Nothobranchius furzeri: one gene and its partners. The protein of the gene in region 5 interacts with the protein of the main gene of each other region in a pairwise test. Links are inferred from orthologs where the notes say so. Each region holds a gene or a part of one and is shown on either strand. Other genes may lie near its edges. The genes, in order: frmd8, setbp1, cAMP-dependent protein kinase type I-alpha regulatory subunit, rabac1, plekhf2, hspb7 and ube2z.

Region 1 (4,513 bases), on a different chromosome or scaffold from region 5:
AGGGCTCCAAGGGCCATCCAGTGCTCAGGGTCACAGGGATAGCGACCTGAGAGGATGTTGCTCTTGGCCTCCTCCTGCAGAAGTCTCAACACTCCTTCGTCATCGATCTGCTCAGACAACGATCAGGAAGTTTGCAAAAGAAAAAGTGAGTTTTATTTAATAAATCTAGGCCATTAGAACCTTTTTTTTCCTAAATATGTTTTGCTGAATGAAACGTACCTGCGTCTCTTTTGCTTTTGGATAAAGCACGTTGCGTCTGTACTGCAGATACGGCTCATCTGAGGAAAACAAAGAAAGCCGTCAGAGTTTGATCATCTAACTAGATATCTAAACAAGAGATTCAGCCTCCAGCCCACTCTCCTCAGGCTGAAATCCCCAGACCGTGGGTGGGATTTACTTCACGAGTACATCAGGTCACACAACTAAGTGACTCTATACTTTTAGCGTTGAGCTGTCATCGTGTCCTTTGACTAGAGAGGTCACCTTCCTCACAGAGGACGTGTGTGAGCTGGTCCAGCCTGAGTGGGGAAACCAAAACCTCTCAGAAACAAAAGTCCACCAGGATGTGTCATCATTACTAATAAACATCTGACTTCTTCTGGAAGGATTCGTTCTGTCCTCTGACTGACAACGAGCTCATTGGTCAGCATCGTTTCTGGCTTCCCATTGGCCAGGAGATGTTTGGCAGGATCATCTCCCTCAAATTCAAGACAACAGGTAATATATCACCGTGATTTACATTTCTTATGTACTGTGTACAGCGCCTTGGGCTCCCTGACAGGGTCGTGGAAGGCGCTTTACAAATCAAGCTTTGATTGATATATGCAAGAGCAGGTTTTAGGTTTTATTTTATAGTATTAGAGTCCTTTTGAGAGCAAGTTAAACACATTTAAGGAGCTTTTTCAGAGTAAAAAAAAAGAGTTTGGAGAGAAAGCAGGACAAGATCTGAGCCTAAACACAACAATCAGTGCTCCCAAATTTACGCTCCTGCTTAAAAGCAGAATATTAATCCCATAATGCATGCATTAGATGGATTAAAACAAAATAAAAGTAAATAGCATAAAATTAAAGTTTAGCATTAAGCTTATGTAGCACTGACAGTTTATAGTGATACAAATAAAATCCACTGAATAATCGAGAAACAGTCCCGAGATTTTGCACAGCAGTGAGACAGCAGAATATTGGAGTCTTTTATAAATATAGTTCGAGTTACAAGCGATGTAGACCTGAGTGAGAGAATTACCTGCAACTCTGTGTTTGACATGCCTGAGTACAATCGCAAATCACAGAGCAGTATCATGCACAGCATCTAAATTATAGGAGTCACTCTGAGTCATCTCAGCCACAATTACTTCCTAGAATGACTCAGTCATAGGAAAAACACAGAAGCATCCCATACAAACCAGCAGGACGAGAACTTTTGTGCTGCGAGACAACGAGGCTTATGTTCTCACCTTGTGAGATGTCCTCCTCTGATGCATCAGTGAAGCGATACAGCAAGTCCTGCCACTGCCTACATAACTTGTAAGGCTGATGCCTCATCTTTAGCTGCAGCTCTGCAGAACAAAGAAGGAAGCATAAAGTTTAGCGGCTTCCACTGAAGGTATGCATGTTCTCATACTTAGATAACGTAACAAATGTAACAAAAATAAGAAGTTCTTGCCGAGCAGAGGGGAACAAAGCCAAAAGGCAAAAGCATCCTGCACAGACTCAGGAATCTGCAGAGCCTCACGAACACTGTGGCCCAAGTCCTGCACGGATACGCTACCAAGCCCTTCTAGTGATAAGTGAACTGCACTGTCACCGTACAAATACACAAGCACATCTTGAGCTGTGGGAACAAAGACCAGTTAGTCAATCAACACTTGAGAATACATTTAAAACTCTTTAATAGAAATGTGCTACCATTGCAGAGAAAATAAAGAAATGTAACAGTTAAGGCGTTAATTTGGTGTTCATAAACACGTTGCACCATTACCACGAGAAAGCGTAGCAGAGGAAGCAACACTTCCCCTTTGAGAGTGATTATCCGACAAATCTGGAGGAAAGTTGCAGTCGTCGCCCTCCATCTCTTATCTGAAACACAAAATCCAAATAGATCCATCAGAATGGGTGAGAGGGTTTTATGTAGCATTGATGCATTCTACACATTTTAATACCTCAGCATGAGGTCGTACATGACTGTAAACTTTATTCTGACAGCATGATGTGTTTATGTGAGCAGCATATAACTTTAAATAAAGATCTGACTTATAGCAGCAGAACTACACATGCTACCTAATCCTTGTCTGACATGTTAGTGATGTGGCTAACTCGGTCCCGACTGGGAGCCAGCGCCACCAAGTGAATTTTAACTGGAGATACTCCTAAACTAACCCATTGTTGGTCTGATGTGGAGTAAGATTTTAGCCCCAACGACTGTTATTTAAAACATTTTAAAAACGAGTCACCGTTTTGCAGACACCGCCACCTCACAGCAGGTTAGTTTATCAGGAGGACTGTCATTGTCCCCATATGCAGAGTGACAGCACAACAACAGGGAAATATTCCCGGAAATGACCATCATCGTGTCTAAATCTAATCCTGTAAAATGGTCTGAGCCACAATACAACAAATTGGACTACTCTACATATCTGACCGCAAAAACACAGACTTATTGACAGTAAATTGTCACTCCTATGAAACAAATTTGATCACCTATCTAGCCCATTAGCTAACTTGTTTTTTAAAAAACTAAACACATCTGGTATTCACTCACCTGTAAGTAGTTCTCCCCTCGATGCTTTTACTCTGGATAGGATATTCTAATTTTGTAAATACTACTGGGTACATTAATCAATCAACGTTTTGCTCCAGAGGTTTTATTTTCTGGCTGCGGCTAGCCCGCTGCCTGAAAACTAGCTTTCCAGCAGCTAATGTGTGATGACTGAACGAGTCGGATATTTTGAACCGTTCTTCTTCGGTAGGATGAACAATACATCTGGGGAGTTCACAACCTCAAGAATCCATGGGTTTTTAATGGAAAAAAATCATATAAACTATTACAACGACGGATAGTGTAAATTTTACGTTGAGTAATACCCTTAAATTAGTCTAAAGGACTGACTATGTGAATCGAGAACCAAATGATTGAATCCCTAAAATGAGCCTAACTTCCCAAGGCGCTCCGTGGTCTCATCACGTGACATAACGTCAGCAAACTGATTGTTGTGTTTATCTTCCGCAGGTATTCGCTGATTCGACGAGAATTGACGGCACATACAACAGGTTAACGTACATAATAAAATAAAATAAAATAAAATAAAATAAAATAAAATAAAATAAAATAAAATAAAATAAAATAAAATAAAATAAAATTTAAACAAAACTAAACAAAATGAAATAAAATGTGTAGGCCTGTATTATTTAATGTTACTGAGATTGATTTATCCAGAGTAATTGTTTGAATGCTGTAAACTATTGTTTTCCTCTTTTCTTCTTATTCTGCTTCCGTACACTTTTTGAACCTCTTCTTCTCCTTCAAATTTTGAGCTATTTCAACAATTTTATATCAAAACGTTCAGCTCGTTAAGCTCTTTCCGGCTATTACTTTTGGCATTGATATCTTTAAAATTTTTCGAGTTATTAAGCTTTTTCTGCGAAAATTTTCCCATTGAAATGAATGGGATTGGTCAATTTTCAGCAAATTCCTATCACTTTTTTGACCTAAAACTCTATTGGGTTCCTTTTAACTTAGAGACTTCATTCAAAGTTTAACAAACTCATAAGACTTTCCTGTTTAACATATTAAAGAGGCATTTTTGAATATCTTTTACGGTTTTTGTAAAATCGCAGGTAGAAGTTGAAGTACGACTTGAAATTTTCAGAAAAATTCACAAAAGTTATAATGGGGAAAGATAGGAGCAGTGACCCTCCCTTGCTCCATTTCTGGCGTTGTCCCGAGAAAACCGTAGGTCAGATTGAAATGAGACACATGCTGGCTTACATCTAACGAATATACCTTCGTTTTGAGCTATAATTCATGTACTGTACTCCAAACATTGTGGTCGTACGGTTCATTTGTTTGAGAAAATTCAAATTAAAAAAATGTCTCTCCCCACTCTAAACTGAAAGTTCCGCACTCTAACTTTTGAACTTCACATCTTCTGTGAACAACTCTTTACTACCCCCAGACCGTTTGGACTACCAAAACAAATTATAACTCAAAAATTAGGAATTTATGTCAGCTTTTCAGAATGGGTTTCATTTTTTCTGTAACTGTTACAGTTCTTTCGCTACAAGCCTCAGAAGGAGGAGAGACCCAGATTCTGCCTCATTGAAACCCATGTTAAAGGAACAGAGATTTTCTCCTCTGATCGGCTTCAGGCAGCTAAAAGTTTCTCGTCATAGCTTCAAGACAATTCACGGTAGGCACATAAAAATCCACACAGATGACCAACAAAGCCTTCTGCCGCTCATGCTTTTTTAAATTTTCAATTCGGTGCAGTACTTTTCGAATGGTGATGAGAAGTTT
Region 2 (3,848 bases), on a different chromosome or scaffold from region 5:
CAATCGAGCCTCAATGGTGGTTGCCATAGCACTCATGGCTGAGGTGACAGGAGCTGAGGGTGACTTCAGAGCCAGAGAGCCATTCTGACTAGATCCAGAGAGAATCTCGTTTAAGATGCTTTGCATTTTCCCGAGCTTTGTCTTATTTATTGACCTAGGATGGCCTCTGCCTCGCGTTAGCTTCAGGCTGTTAGAACAGTCGCTGGATGTTGGGGAGGCCATTTGAACTAACGTGTTTAGACCATGTGTCTTTCTCCTGCGGCTTAGCCCTGTAGAGGTGTCCTGTGACAGTGGGCTTGGGGGTGAGGTGGAGGTGCCCTCGTGAATGGTCTCCACGGTTAGGAGTGGCTGTTTCTTTGGACGCCCTCGTTTCCTCTTGATGGGAGCGTGGACCGTTAGACTGTCACTATTGGTGTAGAGTGGGCTAGACGGGGTAATTGGGAAAGCAGAAGGTGGCTCTGATAAGGCCAGAGGACTTCCCAGTTTGTCTCTTTGAGGTGATGTCAGACTGGTATGACTTTTAACTTTCAGGTAGGACCATCTGTCGTTGACCTTTGCTGGTTTAAGTTTGGCTTCAGAGACAATATTGTTTTTAGGGCTGGGACTCAGGTCAACCCTGCCTCTAGGACTTGGACTTGGACTAATGTTGGTCCTGGGTTTAGGACTGGGGATGGGACTGATGCTACCTCTATAGCTGGGGCTAGGGAGTCTGAGATTGGAGCTAAGATTAAGCTTGTTGATATGATTGTATGCAGGCTCTCTGAGTTTAAGGGTATCTGTACCACTCTTGGGACGACCCACTGGATTCTTTTTCACTCCTTTTAAACTCTGATCTGACTCCTGGTCAGGCCCACTTGTAACAGCTTCTCCTCTTTCTGCCTTTTCGGCCCTCTCTGCTTTATCCCTCTTATCACCTTTATCTCCTCTCTCTGCCTTTTCGATCCTTTCAGTGCTGCTGTCCGCCTGACTTTTAAGACGAGAGTCAGTCTTGTGAGTCTCTACCTTATGTGCTACTTTGGGTTCCGGGGCTCCGGTCTGAAGCTTCTGGGTAGCTTCCAGAATCTGAAGCTGTGGTTGCTCCTCCAAAGAAAACGACTCGTCAAACGAAGGCCTCCTCCGTCTCTTCCTTCCTTTACCATCCTCTGTGATCAGGGGCATACCTCTCTCTTCTTCATCTCCTCTCCTTCCAGCGTTTGTTTGCTCTCTTTCCTCTCTTCTCCGCTCTTCTCTTTCTGAGTGAAACTGTTCAGATAGCTCCTCTTGGTTGTACTTCTGCCTGTCTTCTGAATTACCTGGACTCTCTGATCCTCTCTCTGGATGCTTTCCCCAATGTGCATCAGTACCGTGGGGATTACAGAGCACCTTCTGAGAATCCTTCCTGCCATACTTCCTCTTGATATTCCCAAAGAGCTGTTCGCTTACTTCTTGCAAGCCCTTACCCCTAGAGATATGCATAAGCAGAGAAATTAAGCAAAATAAATAAGAAAGGATGCATTGTAACTTACTGATGGAGTTCTTATTTTTGTGTTATTAAAAAAAATATAGCCATACCTGCTGAGCGATGTCAGGTTGAGAATACTGGCATCTGTGACCACTGGCAGCTGCAATTCTGGAGTCATGGATCTCTGAGGTGAGGGGGTCTGTGTTGCTGTCCGTTGATAAGGTTGTGTCGGATCAAGCAGAGTACTTCTGCTTGCTCCTAGCAAACCTCCTGCTGCGTTAGATTCCCCCGAATGGACAGAGGATGAAAAAGGTGCCACAGATGTAATCCACTCCGGAACAACTTGGTGTTGTTGTGCATTAACATGCTGGAACTTTTGCGTGAGGCTGTGCTGTGATTGTGGCATGTTTGAGATAGCATTTGTAGGAGGGAGGGTGCTGCGAAGCTGATGTTTAGGCAGAGTGTGATCCCCCAGAAGCTGTAGAAGGCCCCCTTCTTTCTGCTCTGGCATTCTGAACTGACGCTCGTACGTCTGAAACACAGGAGGGAAACAGACGAGTTTACTACAGAAAAACTGTGACTGTGTGGCAGCTTTAAATACTTGCAATGATAGACCAATTATGTGATAATGTAATCAGAAATATATATATATACATATATATATATATATATATATATATATATATATATACATACATACATACATACATATATATATATATAGGGATGTGTATTGGTGAAATTCTGGCAATACAATATGCATCACGATACAGGGCAGACGATACAATATATCACAATATATTGCGATACATTCAGCCAGACAATAGAAGCGATTTTTTTAGACTAAATCTATTGTAGAAAATTTCAATAAACTGTCCAAACTGATACTTAACATGTTTATCGTGATGTATCTGAACCATAATAAAGAGATTTACATTTCAATAGTGGAAACAAAACTCCCACTGCACACTGCTGCCAACTAGAAGTCGGCGTTTGAATTGCACCAAAGGAAATGAAAATACACAAATGTTTGCATGTAAATTCTGCCCAAAAGTCGATACACGGCTTTTGAATATTGATATAATATTGCAGGAAACAATATCACGATATACTGCCATATCGATATTTTCTTACATCCCTATATATATATATATATATATATATATATATATATATATATATATATATATATATATATATATATATATATGTGTATATGTATATATATATATATATATATATATATATATATATATATATATATATATATATGTATATATATATATATATATATATATATATATATATATATATATATATGTATATACATATACATATAAATATATATATATGAGTTAGGAGTAGCCTTTCAGTAAATCAGTAAATTGTTGTGCTTTAGGATGCCCTCCATCTCTTTTCACTGCACAACTTAAGGTTTTAATACATCTTTTGAGCATGGATGAACAATGTGCAACAAAACAAAGGGCTTGTTTGCAGAGCAATTAAATTCCTGTGGCAAGGATGTTGCATGCTGTGCGATCAGTGGAGGGTAGATCTGGGGACGTCTGGAAAAAACACGATATTATTCACAGTAGCCTAACGCAGCCACATCTCTGCCCCAGATCTGTGATTATTTATGTATTGTCTTTATTTTTCATGACTACCAGCCTTGTAAATATCATTTGTTTTGCCTAAAAATGCAAAACAAATTATATGTTTTCCTTTTACTTATAAAAAGATTTATATCTTCCCCCTCATAGCCGTATATGCAAAACTCTCAATAAACTGTACTAAACTAGAAGAGCCCACTTAATGTATCACTGCTGCATAATCAGAGTACTGCTGGAAGATGAGAAATAGAGCAGCGGATGGCCTCTGTGGTTTAGCCTCTTATTAACAGACTCAGTATGCCGCAACAAGACACTGTTCTGCTGCACAGCAGGGAGATGTAACCTAACCACAGGCTTGCCTCTTATGCCTCTCATGGTCATGTACACACAGGCGTACAAGTGCACACGCACACACTTGATGTACACATTTTACAGGCTTCACAAAATTCTAGTGTTATGTACGAGTGAAGCTGCTGCACATTTACAGACTCGTGCACAAACAACCCAACTGTTGCAAAGCTCTCAGGTCTGGTGTAGACATTTACATGCCCGCTGTCTTTCACGTTGCTAATGTGTTGCTCTGCCTACATCACTTTTCTGTCACTTCTGTCTTTTCTGCAGTCAGTAATCACTCAGCGAGTTGTTTTCACACTTCCCTGAAACAGTTAATAAGCCAGATGCAAACTCACAAAGCAAAAAATAAATTAAAAAACACACACAAACGCCAAGGAGCACAGGACTCGTGTGGATCGAAATGAAAAAAAGAGAAAAGAAACAGAAACAGGCCCAAGCAAACA
Region 3 (3,848 bases), on a different chromosome or scaffold from region 5:
ATGAAGCCAAAGAGTTTGATGTGTAATATGTGCGTGGTGTGTAAAAGTTGGATCACTAAAGGGGTAAAAACCGATACTAATATTTTCCGATATTACCCTTTAAAGCAAAAATCATCTGATAATATCAGCAGACCGATGATATTGGACATCCACAGAAGCAAGACAAGCTAACAGATGCCACAACAGAGGGAAGCTACATGCTAATTAGCATCATGGAGGATGAAGTCTGAGGAGCTCTAATGTTCCCCTGTGCTACACTGGGAGGTGGACTTGCTGCTTATGAATTAACTTTTTGCATTTTGAGCGTGCAGTATCCTTTAGACGTAAAACCTTTTTATAAAATGTCCTAGACAGCATTAGTCATCGTTCGCCAAAAGGAAGTAGGTTTCTCTGCTCCTACTTCTTATAAAAACATTGGAAACATGAGAAATATCATGTGATGATACATTTAAAAATTGTAATTAATCACAAATAAAACGTTTTAATGCACCGACAGCCATGAGTATATTGGGTTGTGCATGAACCTCTAAGATTATGAAGAACTCGTCTCCTGGCTCTCCCTGCACAACGATCTTCTGTCCATCCTCAAACTGGACGGGTTCTAAGGCATCGGCCACCGTCAGGCGCTCCCACTTATCAAGAGACTCTGAGGAGGGAGAACACAGATGTTGATCTGATAGACCATGATAACACAAAAGGCTGAGCCCGCTCTGATTATGTCTAGATATATTTTTACATACACCTTCATGTTATTTTAAACTCCAGATCTAACACCAATAACTCCACTCCGTGTTTATTTTTAAACTTCTACACAGCAGCTGATGAGAACTAAACACACCCACCTAGAATGGACACTTTCCTGAGGAACTCCTCGTACATCTTTCTCTTTCTCAAAGTGCTTCCCTGAAAGAAAGAGGGTGGGTGTTACTCCAACTCCGTGAGATGATCCACAGAGTCGACGAGAAGTTCCCTCACCATCAGTATTCTCCTGTAGCTGTCTCTGTCGATGCCCCACAGCTTCACATTGGTCTTGGCTCTAACGGTGGCTGCCCTCGGGGTGCCGTAGATCAGTGCCAGCTCTCCAAAGCTGCCCCCCTCGCCGATGCTGGTCACCCATTCGTTGTTCACGTACACCTGTGGAATCAGACAGGTACGAACCATGCCTCAGAAAAGGATCAACAAAGGTCTTTATGTTAGAAAACCAAGTAAAGATGCTCACATCCATTTCTCCTTGGTCGATGACGTAGAAGTTGTCACCCTCATCACCTGAACACATAGAACAATACATTTAGTATCGCACTGGTCATAATATCGTCAATATTTTAGATAACACATGAAACATGTGCTCCTACCCTGCTGAATGACAGTTTCCCCGGCAATATAAGTGACTGGAAACATTGCATCAAATATGTCGCTGGGGATAAAACACACCAGTGAGTTGATCCGATGAACACAAATAACTTAAAATCCACGTTTCACTTGAAAAAGCTTCAAATAAACACGATCTATGGCCCGGTACCTTCTCTCGTTGTCATCCAGGTGTGAGAACAGCACATTCTTTTCAATGGCTTTAGCCAAAGCAGCCATCGTTTTGTAGTCTTTTGGAATGACCTGTAATTATAGAATTAAAGAAAGAGATTTTACTATCAGATATCATCAGAATCACTACAATACGGTTCGCACACTGGAGTGATTAAACTACCTTTCTGACATACGAGGCTGCATCTTCCTCTGTGTACACCTCTGCACTGAAGGCTCCTCTTCGTCGGCGACCCTTTACCACGGGGTTCATGGGTGGAGACACCTCCTCATCGCGAGAGTCTGAGCGGGAACTGCTGGCTTTCTGCTGGCTCTGGATCTGCTTGGCCTCCTCCTGCAGGAGTCAAAGAGAAGACTAGTGTTCCAGGATGCAGCCCCATCAGCCACCGATGTGGAATAAACCTCCAAGGGTTCAGATGTCACTCAAACATCATTTCTAAATATGTTTATGTATTTAGCAGCTGCTTTGGTTCATAGCAACTTACAAGTGATAATGAAGCCAGCAGGCTGCCCTTGAGGCTAACAACAAAACACTAATCAGTCACCCGTGGTGGCAGAGAGGCAGCATAATGAATCATAAAGGGAAGTGAACAAGGAGTGAACTGTAGAGTGGGGGATGGGTGCAGGGTGGGTCCTAGTCTAGAAGATGCTCTCTGAAGAGCTGGAGTTTCTTGAAAGTTGACAAGGAAGCCCCTGTTCTAGTCGTGCATGGTATGTCCTTCCACACCTGCGGAACGACACATGAAAAGAGTCTGGATTGTCCTGAGTGTGTAGGCTCTGCTAGCCGACGATGATCCTCTGATGACCAAAGTGGCCGAGCCATGAGGTAAGCCTTTTCAGGTTAATGGGAGCCGTACCATCCAAAAAATACAAAAACCCGTATGCATGCACATCTGTAGGAGAAAAAAACGAATAGAAGAGCTGTGGTTTACTGATTTTAGAGTTAGGACATTTTCTGTTAAACCTAACATTTACAGCCATTTCTGTTTTGTATTGATGACATCACAAATACTACACCAGATCATTTATTTAGTGATGTCCCGATTCAACTTTTTCACTTCTGATCAAGTGACATTACTCAATCGGAGAACAAAAGCCAATAACAGTAAGTATGGAAAAATGGGAAAAACTATTGGTTGCTAAAATGTGAACCTTAACGGACCGCTTATATCGGAGATTTTTGTTGCCGTCCGATATAATTCACAATACAATGTTTTTGGGTCAATATTGAATTACTTTCGATATCAGAACGGGACATCCCTAAATTTATTCAAAATAAAAATGTTAAATGGGTTGAACTGACAATTTGATTTTATATGGTTGTATATTTTTTATTAGTTTAAGTAAAAATCTGTTTGTTTGTTTTTTTTTGGAGAGCACCATCTAGAGCAGGGATTCCCAAAGTGTGGTGCGGGTGCGCGAGCTGCCGCTAGGGGGTGCGCGAGGTGAAAAGTGTAATGGCTGCGGAGCTCAGAGAAGTCTGTCATATGTCACCATTATTGTAGAAACTCATTTGTGGGTGGGCCAAAGAAAAAGTAAGTGGGCCCAATAAATGTAATTGAAAACAAGTATATTTTTGCGCGCGTGTCCTCCACATGTGCCCTAGCTTCATAATAACAATGCACCGAGCTTCAGCACTCTGGCCTGCGCACGCCGATATGTTCCGTATTTGATCATTTTTAACGGTGTTGGAGGAATCTGAAGGTGGTGAGTCATTCTGGCAGATTGTAATTAACACCCTGTCTCATGCAGGTGTTCTGACATTGTAAACCTCACACACAGAACATTGTGGATGTAACAAAATAACAAGAAATGATTCCCATTCAGGCTATTAACAGCGCGCTGAAGATCTGAAGTTCAGAGTGCGTCTGTCAGAGATCAGACGCGTTCCAGTCACGGCTCACGGGTGCACATGTGAGCACATCTGGGCTGGGCAGAAGTTTTAATAGCGACAATAACGAGACGCGGTGACTTGAGCGGCTGTGCCACGCGTGCGTGCGCGCACACACACACACAGATTCAATAAGCGCGCACGCTGCTTTAACTCCGGCGCGCCGTCAGACTGAAGGCAGAAATGAACGCTGCCTCCACCACGATAAAAACTTTTAAGAGGTTATTTTTCATTCAAGGTCAAATTAAGATATTAGCTTCTGGGATGAGTCGGGTCCGCTACAGCCAGTGACTCCTCATGAACCTGACCACAACTCCTGTTACTGCAGCATGTGTTATTCCAGTCAGCGTGGCAGCGGATCACAGATTCAGCCACACCATAAAACAGCAATAAGTCGGTCTGAGGTAAAAGTGAACAT
Region 4 (4,396 bases), about 7.2 Mb from region 5:
ACAGAAATATGTGCCGAGGGCCACCGAGTCCGACGCAGCGACTGCCCCGTGCGTGCACATGTACACGCCAACTCTTACGAGAATAAAACTAAAGACAAGTAACAGTAACAGAATTTATTGCACTTCCAACGTTTCAGCACAGAACGCATAATTTACAAATGAATTTCTAAAATGTGCTTTTCGTGACCTTTCCCACCAGAATGTCTGAACCAGAGCTGATCAAATAAATAAAAAGAGAAGCCACATAATGTTCAAAACTAATTAAAAAACTAAATGGCACTTGACCTTCGGACATGCGTCGATACCAGCAGTTTGGATGGTGCCGTCAGAATTTACTTTGCAGGATGCCCACAGCTAGGAATTCAGCGCAGATGCTCCGCTAAAGAGCAAGAGGCTTCATGGCACAAACCAGAGGCATCGCAGGCTTAATATATGCAGATAAAGGCGAATAATGTGCTTCAAGCAATAAGAAATTCATTATTTATGCATTTGTGTAACAACAGTTATTTATCATGCAACATAAGGTGCATTCGTAATACAATGCCATAAGGTAAACATGAGGAAGAAGGATATATGTATAGATATAAAAAAATCTTCAAGGAGATTCTCAAAGGGTCAAAACGAGGACTGATCATGGAGCAGCTCTTTAGACCGGCTCCATGAGGAGCTCATCCAGGTCCGACGCCTCCAACTCTCGGAACGCAGCATGAGAGCCGATCACAAACAGAGTTGCTCCTGACAGGAAACCACACAGAACAGGAAAAATGGATGTAAAAAGAAACGATTTTAGTTCTTAATCAAGATGAAACATCAGAAAAAGATTACGAGGAAAGAACAAATCATGTTCAGCTTACCGAGAACCCAAAACACAGCGGCTCCGGCTCCTGCCAACCAGAAAACGGGCAGAGAAACGGCTCCAGCCAGACTCATCTGGTGTGGGACTGTCAGTTCTCTGCCTGATAAACAAGAAATATGAAGAAAAATATTAAAAATAGGGTTTGTGGTGCTAAATGCAGCGTGGGTTAAATCCAGAACAGGCATGGATGACATATTTAAAAGGTTTCACACAGAATAAAAAAAAATAGACCTTGAATGTTAAAAAAAAAAAAAAACTAAATCTGGTAAATTTGAAAAGATTATGGATTTGTAGGAAATGTACTCACCGAGAACAACCAGTTTGGACTCCAGAGACTTAAGGTGGATGGCGTAGAAGGCACCAGCATACACGGCTAAGGCAATCAGCAGCATGGGCGAGCTGATACTGAGGAGCAGGAAAAATGAACAGGGCTGTCAGGCTGGAGCTATTTAAAGCAGACTGTCGACATTTTTCTAGAAGCCAGAGTCTCACAGATGATCTAATTAACATTTTTTGTTTTAATGAAGCTCTCTTTGATTAGGTCTTACATGCAGTAGAGGATGAGCCCCAGAAATATGAAGGTATAGTTGCTGTTGTAAACTTCCACATTTTTAACCACCCTCTGACACAACTCTCCAAAGTTGCGAGGTTTTGAAAATTTGCGCTGGTCTACAAAGCTGGCCCACGGTCGGATGGACAACCTGCGCCTGTCGAACCACTCCTTAGCCATGCTGGCCGAGATGCCTTTAGGAAGCCAGAGCCTATAAAAATAAACAAAATAGAATATCATCAACACACCAAAGCCAGGGTAAAAATATGAAAGCATGGTGGTTCACACCTTGAGAGGACTCCGATGCCCCCTGTGCCGGTTGGATGGGCCTCATCTGGGATGAACAAATCTCCAGCTTTGCTGTCCATGTCCACCATGACGTTCTCCCCTTTAGGCACTCCAGATAACATTTAGAGACTGTTGACTGAAACAGAATCACATTGAATGTGGACTAAACTTTTACAAAAACAATTAGCCTGGATTTACTCATTTTTATTTGATGCAACGGTGTAGCATCTTATTTAGACTTTGGTTGCGTTTCCACTCATTTTCTGGTAGATGTATTATTATTATTATTTTTTGCCTATGAAGCCCCTTATTTCTAGTCTATAAATCCTTCAGGCATAAAACATTTCTGAAACTGGTGTAGTGTAGTGTAGTGGACATTTAAATCCTATTTTTTAAATTAGAATCGATGACAAAATACCAAAGATTAAACAATTTGAGAAATTAAAAAAAGGTACTTTAGCACACACACACACACACACACACACACACACACACACACACACACACACACACACACACACAAAACGGATTCCAAAAGATATATTGACTGAAAACTTGACATATGGTCGTTTCTATAACTGCACCATTTTCATTGACCTTCAGATCTACTGTAGACACATGTTTTAACCCCAACACTTCTTATTTTATCTTTCATATTCCTCGTGTTCCCAGTAAACCTCCCTGGTTCTTAAGCTGTTTTGAAAGCAATAATCGCAAATGTCAATGGAGCTAACTTTTGATTTTTCGTATTTTAAAACGCCACATTTGACACGTCATAATCTAAAACGGTCTCAAGTGTATAAACAATCACTGTCTAATGATTACATGTCTTTCTAGTTTAATGGCGATCCTTAGTTAGAGAAACAGGAAGAAGTAGAAACAGGGCCCGGCCAGTGCCACATCACTAAATAAACAGGATAACCGAGAAACTCTCGTTACCAAACAACAGTGTCTAGAAGTAGCAATTTCAAATATAAATATTATACTCACGACGAGTCTATTTAAAACCTGAATGTAAATGTAAAATGCTAGCTTATGAGCTAATGTTTACGTCTACTTCCGGATTTTATTTAACGTCAACGTAATTTTCACTTGTTTTTAAAATAAGAATTTAAATTACAACATACCTGCCAAAATGCTAAACCCTTAAATCATTCACCAAAATGTAGGCAGAAGTTTCACCAGACAGCCTGAGCTGTCTTTTGTTGCTGTTCTGGATCTCGGAAGTGATGTGGCTGCTGGAGAAGAAGAAAAAACTTCCTACTTCGCTGACTCTAGGCAGGGCCACCTACTGGCTACATAGAGTACTTCGAATTTTGTGTTACACAACACAGGTGGAACTTTTCATTTGTATTACTTTTTATTTTATTTATTTATTTTTTTGCATTATTTTTACTTCATCCAAAAAACGGAGTTTTTTCTCTTAACAGCCGAAAACACATCTGTTGAAAAAGCCGACCTGAGATCGGCTGCCTGTTTTCTGCGGTGGCTGCTCAAAACCACACAAGCACGAAAAACTGACTGCAGATCAGAAATGGTAAAAACGTGACCTTACGTCATGTAACAAACAAAGAGGCTGTGATTGGTAGATAGACGAGTGTTGTGGTGCTGCCGTCACTGGGCACGCGGCACTGTGGAAGTTGCTAGATCCGCCAGCGAAAGAAAGGAAACAAACATTAGAAGGTGAGGCGCTATTAATTATCTTATCAAATTTAGCTGTTGGAATGTTTTTACGTGTTGTTAAATGTAATCTTCAGACCTTGGGGTTTATGACAGTTCTGTTTTTGTTAGTCATTAATAAAGTAACGTTTCAATGCTAAAACAAAATGTACGCGTTTTTTTTTACAAATGCACTAAAGGGGGACACAGCGCCATAGCAGCATATTAGCCTACGCTGGCTCCGTTAGCTTTAGCTTATTCGGCTCTTTAGCTTACTCAGCTCAACAGCTGTCCTGGCTGGGTGTTTAATGACCGTTTTTTTCTCCACAGAAACCGTGACAGGATACATAAACTCGTATAAAGCGTAAAACCGTAACACAAGAGGAACGAGTCGTTTCAGGAGCCTCCAGCTGCTTTCATACACATTTTGCCTGAAGATAAAAACGACACCGCTGACTGGTTCGTGTGTGTGGAGAGCGTCAAGCTGAAACGGTAAAAGGCAGGAATGTTCAGCTCCACACACACTGAGCTCACGTACATTAACATTTTATATCCTGACTCCCGAGGAAAATACATTTCTATGTCATATTTTTTCAAAATCTCACATATATATTATAACTTAGTCGACTATAAGTATAAATAATGTCAGAAAATATGGTGTAAATAGTTGCATTTTCCCCAAAAAAGCTAATTATATTTTATATTTTTGTTTAATTTCCAATAACAATCAGTATTAATAGATTATTTAAAAAAATGCTCAACAAAATAGGGTAAATAACAGCAAATAAACCAAACTGGAGAACGTTTATTCAAACAATTGATAATTGTGTTAAAATATTGCTAAATTACTAAATTAGGTTAACATCCCCCAAAACTTCCTAACTTCCTAATATCTCCCAAAATAGCTTGAAAATGAGTTTTCTTCTTTTCTTTTTTTTTTTTTTTTTTGACAAAAGTTGCTTTTAAGAACCTCGTTTTCCTTAAATAGTAAGTGGAAGTCCTTCAAGCCCTTTCTCTAAAGATTTATGAGTTGTATCTGGAGT
Region 5 (4,313 bases):
TCTTTTAAAGCCTGCTGCACACGAGAGCAATCGCTCGCCGTGTGCGCCTGATTTTCACTTAAATTTCCGCCTCACGAGACGCTGAGGATTCTGGGTCTTTCAGTCGCATCTCTTGGGAGTAAATTGGCACAAACTCTTCGCCTGGCCCTTATTTCCAGCCACCGTACCCATAACTTTCCTAACCTTGAAATGCCGGTGGCGGCGCTTCGTCAACAAAAAAGGTAGAGGCATTTCCTCCGTTTCCAGCTCTGTCTCCGTTTTGCTTATTTTCTGACATGCAGACAGGGGGCTGCCATCTTGGAATCATGTGATCAGAGAAGGCGCTTCGATTGGCCACTAGAATAGTTCAGCTCAGCCGGCAGCTCAGTAGTGCGCACACGGTGAGTTTCTACCCCCCGTGAGGCGGAAAATATCTGAATGGTCAGATATTCGTCTCAGCTTCTTGTGAGGTGGAAAACTCAGTGAAAATCAGGTGCACACGGCGAGCAATCTGCTGAGCCAACGGTCATTCGAGGCCGTTTGCTCTGCAGATTGCTCTCGTGTGCGGCAGGCTTAAGATTCCTGAGAATGTTTTAAACATAACTGTGGGCATTCCTACCTCATTACGCAAATGAAGAGGATCACATTTAAAACTGTGTCATTTAAAATGCAACACATTGCAACAGAGGCTATGCTAGCTGTAGAGTAACATGCCACATCCTGAAAGACCACTGCCTTCATTTGTAAAGCTAGAATGCAAACAAACATTAAAAATACAGCCTGAAAATAAATTGGCTTTAATACAAGCATTGAAGTTTTAAAGTTTGAGTACATTTATTGATGTTTTTTTTGTCTGTTTGTTTTTTTGCATCTTCTGCTTGAACTCCTCTTTGGTGGTGGGGGTCTTGACTACTACTGGTAACAAAAATCACTGATTTCATTTTACTATTTATATATAATTTAGCAGAAATTACAGCGGCATGTTATTAATGCTTGCTGTTACCAAAGGTGCAATATGTAAGGATGAAGTAAGAATGACATTCTGTCACCAGATTTAGGCACTGCAACCCATTTTTAGAAACAAAAAGCAACTCTCACTAGAAAAACTGTCATCTATTTTAAAAGCTTGTTTTCCCCAGAAAATCTTGTTAATTTTTTTTATTATCTAATCATTTGTTACCATGTAAAAAAAAAGTTGAATAAAAAAAAAAGAAAATCTCAACTAGGGAAGAAAATGAAATGGATTTCATAGGGCTCTAATTTTACTACTTTAGATCCTTAAAAAATAGAAAGTTAAGCTTGTCCCCCTCTGACACTGGTGCGGGTGTAAATATTTTGCAATGTTGTGTTTTCATCTATGACTGAACGACAGCTTGTCTCACCTGGTTTCATAATAATCTTTGCAATAATGTGAAGTCACAGAAACTTAAAAAAGAAACTGAATTTGAAAGAGAAGTAGAAAATTCTATAAGAAAATATATAAATAAGAAAAATGCTACAATTTTTAATAGACACATACTTTAAAGAAATGCAAACTTAGAAAAATTAAGGGGAAAATACAAAAACAAATGAACTATTTCAATCTAAAACAATGTTGTGTGCAATAGATATCAAATAAGTTTTATTTTTATTTTATTTTTTTACATTTTATGTTTAATGTTTCACTCTTCTTTGAGACAGTGTTAATGATTTAAATAGTATTGCTCTAACCTAAAATGTGTGTTGCTGTAAACAGATAATAAACTCAATACCACGGGGACAGAATATGTGTAAATAAATGTTGCTTTATTATGCCCTCAGTCATCTGAAGCTAATGGAGATTTTATGCACTTAGACACAATGAAGACATATCAAACTTCCCTTTTTTGTGGTAGAAAACTCGAGTACACACGTCCACAACTGTGTTGCGATAAGGTGGACTCCCAACTGCCCGAATAGTTCAGTTTCCATTTGTTACCATTAGCCAAGACACATTGAAGTTAGTAGTTTCTGCCCAAGTATTTCCACCTAAACTGTTCAAGTGTTTCCAGTCTGTCCAGCACTTCCACCAATTATTGAACGTAATTATTCCACAAACAAGTTAAAGTCTTATTATCAATGCCTCACGTCTCAAAGTTCAATTTACTTTTCAACTTTTTGTCCAAGTTGGCAAAAGAAAGTGGTGCCCGTTGGCAGACTTAGCTAGCTAGCTCAGACGTTAGCTTCCAAGCACTTCATACATTTTACTTTAAAGCTAATCTTCACTCTTTTTTGTTCGGTTTTGAGTGAAAAAGCGGTTCCCAGTTTCGATAATCGATAAACATTTAGGAGAAAGGAAAAGAAAAGCACCCACACAACGCGGGCTTTTACAGGCTATTAACATGAATGAGGAAAAAGTAGCTGAAACCCACGGAACCAGCTTTAGCCAAAGAGTTAAAGTATCATCAGTCAACTTATAAACCCAAAGAACTACATACCCGACGGTAGCACTCACTGTGAAATAGCTTCTGCAATAGATCTAAAGTTCTGCTGTATTCCAGGTGATATCGGTAAAGTAGTAAGTCTGCCTCGAGAACTGACCACTGTGTCCGCAGACACCGACAGCAGCTGGAAACTCCGTGGATAAAACAACAACATGGCAGCGTTAAGAAGATGCGTTCAAGGGCAATCTAATGGCTGGTAAATCCGAAGTGAAGCTGTCTGTTCTGAGAAGCAAATCATTGCTGTACTTTTATTTGGGAAGTCATATTTTTGACCTATTTCGAAAGAAAAATAATCTTTTCCTTCTTCCAAGTCGTGTAGTGAAGTAGTTCGTTTTTTTGATTATTCCAAGGGACAGTGAAGGCATCATGAGCAAGAACAGAAGCCAAGTTTTTGGGAGGAGACCTGCCTGGGGTTCAAAATAGTAAACAAGATGGTACATGTTGTGGCTTTGTAGGAAAAATGCACTGACACCTTAACAAAAAAATGAAGAAAATAAAGCACAACGGTTTCCATAGTGTCCACAAACAACAGGAATGGGAATAAACTCCCCATAATTTACTTTCCCCCTCTTAATGCCTGTGGCAGCAAAAACTCTACCCTTAAGCTAGGACGCTGCTCATCTGCATCCAAACATTCAAAATTCATTTAATTCAAACTTTTAGGGAAACACTACTAGATTTTGGCTTTCCCCTTTAAAAACTGAAAACATTTGCACTCATTAGTTGTTTAGCACCCAACTCTAGTTCATAACACATGCTGTTGTTTTAACCCCATCATTTTAAATTCCTGGATTTAAATCTCAGTTTTTATCAGCAGAGATGGTCTGCAAGTATCAAATTCATCAATACAATACACAACATAAGTTGAACATACATTGCATTATTATTTTTTATTTATTTTATACTTTTACAGGCCAAATCTGCTTCTGGATTCATTAGTTTTTGGGAACTATTTTAAAGCGTGTAGAGCACATTTACAGTTGGATCATTCACCACAAACTAGATCTGAGTCTGTTTGCTTCCTAAAACTGGAAGACGGTGCTCTTATCAGTTCATCCAAACACCCAAAGAGAGTCAATGTGATTATTCACTTGCATCATCAAAGCTCTTAAATCTGCACCGAGACACCGGAGGAGATTAGATTATGCCACGATGCTTAGAGCAACACTAATCGTGTATTAGAAAACCACTGTGACCTTACAGGGTTGGTCAAATATCCCAACACTTCAAATGAATGAGTCCGAGAATATTTCCACACTGCTGGAATGTCAGAGAGTTTGGTGAAGGGTGATAACAATTTATTTAATTACCCAAAGGAGAAAAAAGGAAGTCATTCACTCTCTAAACCAAATATACATGCTCTGTTTTGGTTTGGTTTTACACCACAACAACTCCTTTGTTTAATATTTCTTTCATCACAAGTAAAATTCTATTTCTTTGACCTAACGCTGCTTTTCTTCTATGTTGGGTTCATCCAAATGTACCACACACCAAACGGATTACTTGTTGTGGAACATTAGCTAAAATTAGAATATCCCAATTTTTGGAAGTGATTATTTGCTCCAAAGTTTATTATAAACCTGTTTGTCATTTTATACATCACCTTGCACTGTTTTCCATTTCCCCTCTGCTAAAAAGCTGTTTCCATCATTTACAACCACCCTCTACTGATGACTAAACATGTGGCCTTTGGTTCACCTCCGGTTAACTGAAAAATGCCTCATGGAGGAGTGCAAATCTCCTCTTTATGTAAAAACTAAGTAAATTCACCTGCATGTTGCTGGTATCAAATAAAAAATACCAATATTTTTATTTAAATACTTATTTCTATGCAATTAAACTTTTATTTAAAATAAGAAACTAGTTAGTGTT
Region 6 (3,483 bases), on a different chromosome or scaffold from region 5:
TCTCAATTTTTAAAAGAATGATAGGATTCTTCACAATTGTTTCTTCTCACAAAAGACTGAGGTTTACAGACAGGACAATAGAATACAACTTCAGTTTCATATTGATTCAGAGAATTGCATGCCTTGTGCTTTTACTGGTCACAACAGATTTTATTGCAGATTTCTTTTGCTTTTCTTTATTGAAAGTCGGGATTTAAATTACATGTTTCGTAAACAATAACAAGTTGTGTTCAGCTTGAAACCTTTTGTGTAGAGTTCTTTAATTTTCCCACAAAGACTATAAACTCCAAGTACTTATTTTTTTCTAAATACACAAACATTTCTCTGTCCCACCAGTGATCAAACATTGGAGAAATTAAACTCTGTATTTGACCCATCCCCGTGGGGAGCGATGAGCTGCAGCTGTGGCTGCGCTCGGGAACTATTTGGTGGTTTAACCCCCCAATGCAACCCCTTAAAATTGAGTGTCAGGGAGGCATTGGGTCCCATTGAAAGTCTTTGGTGTGACCCGACCGGGATTTGAACTCAGTTTCAGGGCAGACACTCCACCACTAGGCCACTGACATGTCAACAATCATACTCTGAATCTTATAGAAAAATAGAACTACCTACATTCACAGGTTAAATTACCACAAAGTTTTTGTACTACAATAGTAAATGGAAGAAAAAGGGAAATGAAAGGTTCAGTTGTGTTTTAATGCAGATTTATTAACATTATACATTAAATAATTCATGACACTTAATATTAAATGTGAGTAAAACTGCCTTACAGAACCGACTGAGATATGTAAGTGTGACCTTTACTATATAATTAAACTAGCTTTGTTGCCATCATGAAATGTGGATTAGCAGTGGCTGAAGTGGAGAGACATCATAAAAATGACAGAAATGAGGGGTTAAATCCCCAATAAGTGATGTGTGAGAAAGTCTGTCTCTGTCTAGATTTTGATCTCTGTGCGGTAGGTCTGTACAAGCTCGTGCTTGGCCGGTTGTCTTCGTGCCTGGACCGTTAGAGTCCCCTCAGCACCCAGGGATGATGTCACTGAGGTGGGGTCCACATCCTCGGGTAGTTGGCACTTATGGGTGAAAGTGTTCATCACTGAACCGTCCGGGGCCAACTTGAACAGAAAGAACAATGCAGATGACTGAATGTTGTTGTTCTTAACTGTTCGTCTACCTCTAAATTTCATGTTAACATTCCAAATCAAAAGAAATGCTGCCCACCGTTTCCGCACGGACTTCTATCTGGTTGTTGGATGTGGTGACGATGACATCCTCAGGGGAAAAGCCTTGCACATCAACGGTAAACTGGTATGAATCATCGAGGGTTTTGATGTTCCCGGCTCCACCTGAAACCACCAAAAGAAGTGATATGGTGAGATCACAGAAGACCAAAGCTGCTCTGTTTCTATTCTTATCTCCCACCAAAAAGTCAAAGTGGGGGATGGTTTCATCCCTCTCTCTCTGACATTTACCACAGATAAACTGATAAAGCTGACCTCAGACAGCACCAAAACATTTATAACTCAGACAGCTTTACAGATATTAAGCTAAAATTTGGTGTTGAAGGAGCCGAGTCATCCCTGTATTCTTACACATTATCTGTTGGGGACAACCAAGCTTGACTTTTAGAAAAATATTTGGTGGGGTCAAATAAAGTCATGGTCTTTGGTTGGAAAAGGGTACAATGCCTCTCTCAAGGTCCTGCCTCAAGTGAAGGAATTTAAGTATCTCAGGGTCTTATTCACAAAGGAGGGAAAGATGGAGTGGTACCGGTCTGTCATAGTGAAGAGAAAGCTGAGTTAAAAGGCAAAGCTGTGGATTTAGGGTTCTTCTGCATCCCAACCTTCACATCACGAACTTTGAAGTAATGAGATCGTGGATACAAACTGCTGTAATGAGTTTTCTCCGCAGGGAGTCTGGGCGCTCCCTTGCCATTCCCATCTGTACCTGGTCGGCCCGGCCCGGATAGCTTGCCTGCCTTTTATTTGATAGGCTTATCAGTCAGCAAATTCACACCTTCCATTAGAACAAGCCTCTGATTGGTGGGTAGAATCAGCCCACATGGGCTTAAGGCATGCTCAATTCATTATCATTCATTATCATGCTGATTACCTAGAAGCTGAAAATGTCTCTGACTGCATTCCTTGCATACATGGACGTAATTTTCACTTTAGAAGTGGAGGGGAGGGGGGGGGGGGTATCTTTACAGTATGCTCTAATGGGAAACAGGCTTCAACACAAATGGTTGTTTTCTGCTTGGTCCTAGAGCTCAACCAGTGTCAATTTAATATAGTGTAATATTGTTTTTGGATGGTAAAAAGTGCAGGGGTCAAAACTTGACTTTGGAAAAAGTGGGGGGGACATGTCCCCCCTGTCCCTCCCAAAATTACGTCCATGCTTGCATACCTAAGCAAGGATGTGTGGAATCAACCGGGCTAGGCAGGGGCCGACTGGAGCTATCCAGGCAGGGCCGACCAGGTACAGATGGGAATGGCCCATTAGAGATAGGGTAAGAAGCTCAATCATCAGTGAGGGGCTTGGAGTAGATCTGCTGCTTCTCCACATCAAGAGGAGCCAGCCGAGGTGGCTCGGGCATCTGATTAAGATTCCTACCGGATACCTCCCTGGTGAAGTTTTCTAGGAATGTTCAACTTTAAGAAGATCTATGGGAAGACCCAGAACACTCTGGAGGGATTATATTTCCCAGTAGGGATGCACATACTGGTATCGGTATCTGTACCGATACCAGTATCGGTATCGATAAAAGTTAACCGATACCAGGAACAGATACCAATGCAGTTGCTTGAAAGTGGCTTCACTGTAACTTGTCATTTCTGTTCACCTAATATTTTAGTTTTGTGATGATTTCTATTAATGTATTTTACTTTTTATCTACAGTCTTTTCCTGTTGAAAGCAGAGAAGAAAATAAAACCTGTATTCCAATTCATAGCATTTTTTTGTGTGGTAGAAATATCAGCATCGGTAATCGGTATCAGCGAGTACTCAGATTGGTTTGGAAAAAAGTGGTATTGTTGCATCCCTATTTCTCGGCTGACCTGGGAACACCTTAGGATTCCCACGGACGAGATCACGACTGATCTAGTCTTGTAATTAGTACATCTTTTCCTCATGTTCAGTCACTTCCCCGTGCATTGCTAATCCCAGATTTTTCTTGCAACATTTGTCAATTTCTTGTGTTGTCATGTTGTCCTCTGTTGTTGTTCAAAATGAAACAAATATGTTTTCATCAACAGTAAATTTCTTTTTTGTGTCTTTATTTAGGTCATCAAATTGTCCTTGGTTGGAAAAAGAAGCTTGCTTAAAAGCGTGGATTGACCAGTAAAAAAAAAAACACGTTTCTCCATAAAAACTCTAAATTATCCTTTTACTTGCTCACGGAAAAGCTTCAGTTCTGAGAAATAGAGTTTACATCTGACAGGACTAAAGAGCCAAGGGCTTGTTGGAGCTCCATTCTCCAG
Region 7 (4,618 bases), on a different chromosome or scaffold from region 5:
ATGTGACTGCAGCATTTGCATTAACAGGTTACAAAGTTAAAGTTGCTTGATAAGCTATCATCTTGTCTTTATTATTAGATGGCACATAGCTGATCACACTTCAGACTAGAAGCCAGACGTGTAGACTCGAGTCCTATGACTTGGACTCAAGTCAGACTTGAGTCATTATTTTAATGACTTCTGACTTGACTTGATAAAATCTATTAAGACTCACAACGACTCAGACTTGAGTGCCAATGACTTGCGACTTGAATCGACTTGCATTTGTTCACTTGATGACTTGAGCATATTTGACATTTTAGCACAAAAGTGGCACAACATGGACAAAAATCCTAAATCATTCTCCGTTCTGGGTTTGATGTTGTACCTCTAAATGCAGCAGCACTTTGTTTATAATTCAGTTGCACGTTCTGCTTGTTTGAGCAAATAAATGAAGCTTTAAGAAGTTTTATTTCTAGAATGTATTTATTATGATTGTCATTAAATTGAAGTTGGACAGATGACGTGATTATGACTTGAAACTTCAAAGTTAAGGACTTGGACTTGACTTGGACTTCCACATCATTGACTTTGGACTCTACTTCGACTTGGACTTGACTGAAAAGACTTGTGACTTACTTGTGACTTGCAAAGCAGTGACTTGGTCACACCTCTCCTGGAAGCTAAAGATGAGTATATTAGAGCATCCTGGTGCAATAAGCTAAACTTTTATGAACGACCCGATTAGTCGACTAATCGCCAGTTTTGTTGGCGATTAGTCGACTAATCGTCAACAAAACTGGCGATTAGTCGGTTATTAAAATAGTTGTTTGTGGCAATCCTAAAGATGTCGCAGCAAGAAGAGACGGAGAAAAATGAAAATACCAAAAATAAAACGGCCAGGGCTGCACATAAAATATATTTTCTACAATTTTTTAAATATTTTTTAATAATTATCTATATTGATGAATATAAAAACATTTTTAACGAACTGCGCTGCTCTGGGCGGCTGCATGTTGGAGTAGCTCTGTTGACTGTATGTAAATTTTGCCTTTTCTTGGGCATTTTTTCTTCTAGTTTCTCAAGAAAATCTGTATTTGTTTTGACATTTTACTTTTCCGTTTCTGGTGCTGTGAAGCTTGGAGGATTTTTACTGCTATTTTTTAGGTTTTCTCAATTTTTGAGCATTTTTTATGATGCGTAACCATGGCAACAAGCTGGTTTACAATCAGGAACAACTGATTAACATTGGAAAGGCTGAAATAATACCTCAACTGAAGCCACAAATCCCAAATGAGCTAAAACGCAAGAAGCGTGGGTGCAGAGCGGGAGCTAAACAGAGACGGAGAAAGAGGAAATTCAAACAGTCTCTTCCATCGATCATAATGGGCAATGTGAGATCACTGCCCAACAAGATGGAGGAACTCCAAGCCCTTTCAAGGACTCAGCCAGAGTTTCGGCAGTTTCGGAACCGCTGGAGGAGATAATGCAAAGAAGGATTCTCCAGAGAATCAAGAAAATGATGGACAACCCTGAGCTTTCTCTTCACAAGACTGTCCGACAATGAAAGAGTGTCTTCAGTCAGAGGCTTCTTCAGTTTGGCTGCAACACTGACCGCTACTGGAGATCCTTCCTGCCAACAGCCATTGTAATATACAACAACTCTTTGATGACTTGATTATTATTATTATTCTGAGCTACTACAGCAATCAATTTCCCTCTGGGATTAATAAAGTAGTTTTGAATTTGAATTTGAATATTTTTCTATATCGTCCAGCCCTACACTAGCGTTTTTTTATTATTGCAGAAGGCATTCTGCTTTCATTTCTGTTGTGATCCAATGACAGGTGTGTCGGTGCTACGCGTTTCCTTACCTTTTACAATTTTATTTATAGTCATATTGTAACCTATGCAATCTTTTAGCACAGGGGAGATCCATGATCCCATCAGCAACACATTTTAGTCACTAATAAACCAGGTTTCCTTGTGAGTGACGTCAGAATCAGGTTCTATTTCCTGGTTTTACTTCTTTGGTTAAACACTTTCGGTTTTCCCCAGCATGAAATGACTTTTGGGTCCTTAAACACAGTCACCAAAATGATTTCTTTATTTTGGCAAAGGCAAACTCTACAGAAAATATTCTTATTAAGCTAATAATCGTTTTGCAGACCTCAGTGACGGTTAGTAGGAAAGCCTTGGAGCTGAATTAAAGGCAAGGTAGCTTATAGCACATTTCAAACAAAGGGCAATTCAATATGCTTTACAATTAGCATGAAATGTCACAACAACAACAAACATGAGAACCCAAATAAATTTATAATTTAGAGCTAAAAGGAAAAGACAGAATTAAGGTTGAGTAATCAGAGATTAGACAGCGGAGACGATGCAGCACAAGAAACAATTCATTCAAAGGCTAATGAGTATCTTATATAGAAAAAACACACATGATAGAAAGGATCCAGAAATAATTTAAGGCTTGATTAAAAACAGAATTTACCTCTTTATCCTCAAGATGCACTGCTGGGAAGCCTTTTCGTTGTCCCAGTCTGTGCTGAGGGTCGGATCCCAGGAAGTGGCGTGGATCTGGGACAAGAGGCCCCCTCCTGCCACCCCTAGCCCCACGGTGGGCAGAGAGGAGGACGCGTGCACAATCGGAGACACTGCCATAAAAGGTGGTGATGACCCCGTAATAAAGGTGTTTCCAAAGCCGACAGCAGACGCGACAGGAGCCAAAGCAGTTAGGCCACTCTGTGCGGTGGTGGCGGGTGGAGGAGAGGCCGAGTTGGCGCTGGCGTTTACACCGCTTGCTGCTGAGTGTCCCTCGGGAAGAGAGTTGGCCAAAGTCGGCAGAGGAAAGGTTCCACTGCCTTGTTCGGTGACGCCTAAACCAAAGGCACCACTGCCACACTCCTCTCCAAAGCTATCCGCCATGGCTCACGAGCTAGCAAGCTAGTGTAAATCCGCTGCTGCCTACCTTGCAACGCTAGGTGTTAGCCTCATTGGTAATAGAGTCTGAAGTGACCTCCGAGTGTTTCATTTCTCATTGTGATCAGAGAACACGCAGGCAGGTAGGAGGCATGGCAGGGCTTCCCGCGGATGATGGCTACGTATTATTTGCTAAACTGTATTTATTCCTCCCGGGCCTCCAGAGAGTTCCGTGTTTAGCAGAGCCGCAGCACCCACCTGGTTACAGACATGAACACCAAAGGTGTTGTTAACTCGTTGGTTATCTGAGGAAACAGGATGTTAAATGGCTATCAACTCAATACATAAGCGCCGTTCGAGCAACATACCACAACTTCAAGGGTTTTTTCCTCATGTCAAGTTTGTTGTTACGGTAACGACGTAACATCCGGTCAGGACTTCAAAGTAAACGTCCAATTTAAGCGCTTTACTTCATGTTAGACCTACAGGTGAACCTCGAAAAACGAGAATCTGGAGCAAAAATGCATCAGTGTCAGTAATACAACCTAAAAGGTGAAACGATGACACAGATTCGTTCCACGCAAATCCAGATGTTTCAGCCTTTATTTCTTATAACTGTGATGATTACAGCTGAAAACCCTGAATATCAGACTGTGATCATACGTGATTACGCAAAGCATTATGGGATGTGTGCGGACATGTTGGAAGCTTGACAAGTGTAAACAAAGCGTGAAACAAACAGTACTGTCGCAGAGAAGAAGTGGATTTGGGTGAAAGAAAGTGTTAAACAACATTATAAAATCCCTAAAGGATGCGGAATAAACAGGGATATGTTATAGAAATATGTCGGGGACCGGAATGTGGACAAAATCAGACTTATAAATGGTTTGGATCCATATGATAAACCTAAGACTGGAGCACCAATGACATATTTTTTATCGCTGCAGTTCTGCATAACGAACATTTTCGGCTATCTTGTTTGTGGTGTGATGTAAATGTCCAGATGAGAGGTAAACATTTTATTTGCAGGATTTTCTAGTAAAACAATCAAAATTGTTATCCTATAGAAGAAGTGTAGCAGGAGAAGTTGTGTTGTGTGTCAGCGCGCCCGCATTAGCTTACCGGTATGCGAGTGCAGCCTCTGTGTGTGTGTGTGTGTGTGTGTGTGTCCGTGCGTGCGTGTGTGTGTGTGTGTGTGTGTGTGTGTGTGTGTGTGTGTGTGTGTGTGTGTGTGTGTAGACAAATAAAAACTTGAATGTATGTGGACATTTTAGCATAACCAGATAACAGAGTGAATGAGTCTTTGAAATATAATGCTTAATGTTTTATATAATCATGTGATTGTCCCATATATGCTGGATTGCACTGAAATTTGTGGATTACATATAAACATACACTAATCCATTTATGATTTTACAAAAAATTAGCAATCATTAGTCTAAGTAGTCAGAGCTCCAACCAATGCATTATTGGCTGTGGTACAAATATTAAAATTGGGCGATCTGGCTGATTATAGGACTCTACAATTGGTCTATAAAGCTCATATGAAATCAACTATCTAAGCCAGTGGTTCCCAAACTTATTTAGCCGCGCACCCCCTTCTATGTCCCGACCATGTCGACGCCCCCCCCCCCCCCCCCAGCCCCCACATGTCTCTCTCTCTCTCTCTCTCTCTCTCTCTCTCTCTCTCTCTCTCTCTCTCTCTCTCTCTCTC

The links.
Region 1: the proteins of plekhf2 (region 5) and frmd8 interact in binary tests that used the Homo sapiens proteins (3 or more experiments, as listed by UniProt). The two-hybrid records come from large-scale screens. The link is inferred for Nothobranchius furzeri from reciprocal best matches to the Homo sapiens genes PLEKHF2 and FRMD8.
Region 2: the proteins of plekhf2 (region 5) and setbp1 interact in binary tests that used the Homo sapiens proteins (3 or more experiments, as listed by UniProt). The two-hybrid records come from large-scale screens. The link is inferred for Nothobranchius furzeri from reciprocal best matches to the Homo sapiens genes PLEKHF2 and SETBP1.
Region 3: the proteins of plekhf2 (region 5) and cAMP-dependent protein kinase type I-alpha regulatory subunit interact in binary tests that used the Homo sapiens proteins (3 or more experiments, as listed by UniProt). The two-hybrid records come from large-scale screens. The link is inferred for Nothobranchius furzeri from reciprocal best matches to the Homo sapiens genes PLEKHF2 and PRKAR1A.
Region 4: the proteins of plekhf2 (region 5) and rabac1 interact in binary tests that used the Homo sapiens proteins (3 or more experiments, as listed by UniProt). The two-hybrid records come from large-scale screens. The link is inferred for Nothobranchius furzeri from reciprocal best matches to the Homo sapiens genes PLEKHF2 and RABAC1.
Region 6: the proteins of plekhf2 (region 5) and hspb7 interact in binary tests that used the Homo sapiens proteins (3 or more experiments, as listed by UniProt). The two-hybrid records come from large-scale screens. The link is inferred for Nothobranchius furzeri from reciprocal best matches to the Homo sapiens genes PLEKHF2 and HSPB7.
Region 7: the proteins of plekhf2 (region 5) and ube2z interact in binary tests that used the Homo sapiens proteins (3 or more experiments, as listed by UniProt). The two-hybrid records come from large-scale screens. The link is inferred for Nothobranchius furzeri from reciprocal best matches to the Homo sapiens genes PLEKHF2 and UBE2Z.

What each region holds. Positions count from the first base shown.
Region 1 is NC_091750.1:53,400,993-53,405,505, reverse strand, and holds the start of frmd8 (FERM domain-containing protein 8), read right to left. Parts: upstream 2,899-4,513; 5' UTR 2,759-2,898; intron 2,077-2,758; 5' UTR 2,070-2,076; coding exon 1,979-2,069; intron 1,832-1,978; coding exon 1,664-1,831; intron 1,557-1,663; coding exon 1,455-1,556; intron 279-1,454; coding exon 220-278; intron 108-219; coding exon 1-107. UniProt on the Homo sapiens protein: Promotes the cell surface stability of iRhom1/RHBDF1 and iRhom2/RHBDF2 and prevents their degradation via the endolysosomal pathway. By acting on iRhoms, involved in ADAM17-mediated shedding of TNF, amphiregulin/AREG, HBEGF and TGFA from the cell surface.
Region 2 is NC_091757.1:44,685,050-44,688,897, reverse strand, and holds part of setbp1 (SET-binding protein), read right to left. Parts: intron 1,974-3,848; coding exon 1,552-1,973; intron 1,442-1,551; coding exon 1-1,441.
Region 3 is NC_091756.1:28,744,721-28,748,568, forward strand, and holds part of cAMP-dependent protein kinase type I-alpha regulatory subunit, read right to left. Parts: intron 1,874-3,848; coding exon 1,703-1,873; intron 1,612-1,702; coding exon 1,520-1,611; intron 1,415-1,519; coding exon 1,353-1,414; intron 1,267-1,352; coding exon 1,220-1,266; intron 1,135-1,219; coding exon 976-1,134; intron 904-975; coding exon 843-903; intron 647-842; coding exon 525-646; intron 1-524. UniProt on the Homo sapiens protein: Regulatory subunit of the cAMP-dependent protein kinases involved in cAMP signaling in cells.
Region 4 is NC_091745.1:74,795,114-74,799,509, forward strand, and holds rabac1 (prenylated Rab acceptor protein 1), read right to left. Parts: upstream 2,957-4,396; 5' UTR 2,822-2,956; intron 1,831-2,821; 5' UTR 1,817-1,830; coding exon 1,695-1,816; intron 1,618-1,694; coding exon 1,405-1,617; intron 1,262-1,404; coding exon 1,164-1,261; intron 957-1,163; coding exon 855-956; intron 736-854; coding exon 647-735; 3' UTR 100-646; downstream 1-99. UniProt on the Homo sapiens protein: General Rab protein regulator required for vesicle formation from the Golgi complex. May control vesicle docking and fusion by mediating the action of Rab GTPases to the SNARE complexes.
Region 5 is NC_091745.1:67,586,816-67,591,128, forward strand, and holds the start of plekhf2 (pleckstrin homology domain-containing family F member 2), read right to left. Parts: upstream 3,099-4,313; 5' UTR 2,453-3,098; exon of another isoform or gene 2,436-2,452; intron 1-2,435. UniProt on the Homo sapiens protein: May play a role in early endosome fusion upstream of RAB5, hence regulating receptor trafficking and fluid-phase transport. Enhances cellular sensitivity to TNF-induced apoptosis.
Region 6 is NC_091755.1:36,028,500-36,031,982, reverse strand, and holds the end of hspb7 (heat shock protein beta-7), read right to left. Parts: intron 1,350-3,483; coding exon 1,225-1,349; intron 1,119-1,224; coding exon 939-1,118; 3' UTR 688-938; downstream 1-687.
Region 7 is NC_091758.1:15,254,618-15,259,235, reverse strand, and holds the start of ube2z (ubiquitin-conjugating enzyme E2 Z), read right to left. Parts: upstream 3,139-4,618; 5' UTR 2,911-3,138; coding exon 2,477-2,910; intron 1-2,476. UniProt on the Homo sapiens protein: Catalyzes the covalent attachment of ubiquitin to other proteins. Specific substrate for UBA6, not charged with ubiquitin by UBE1. May be involved in apoptosis regulation.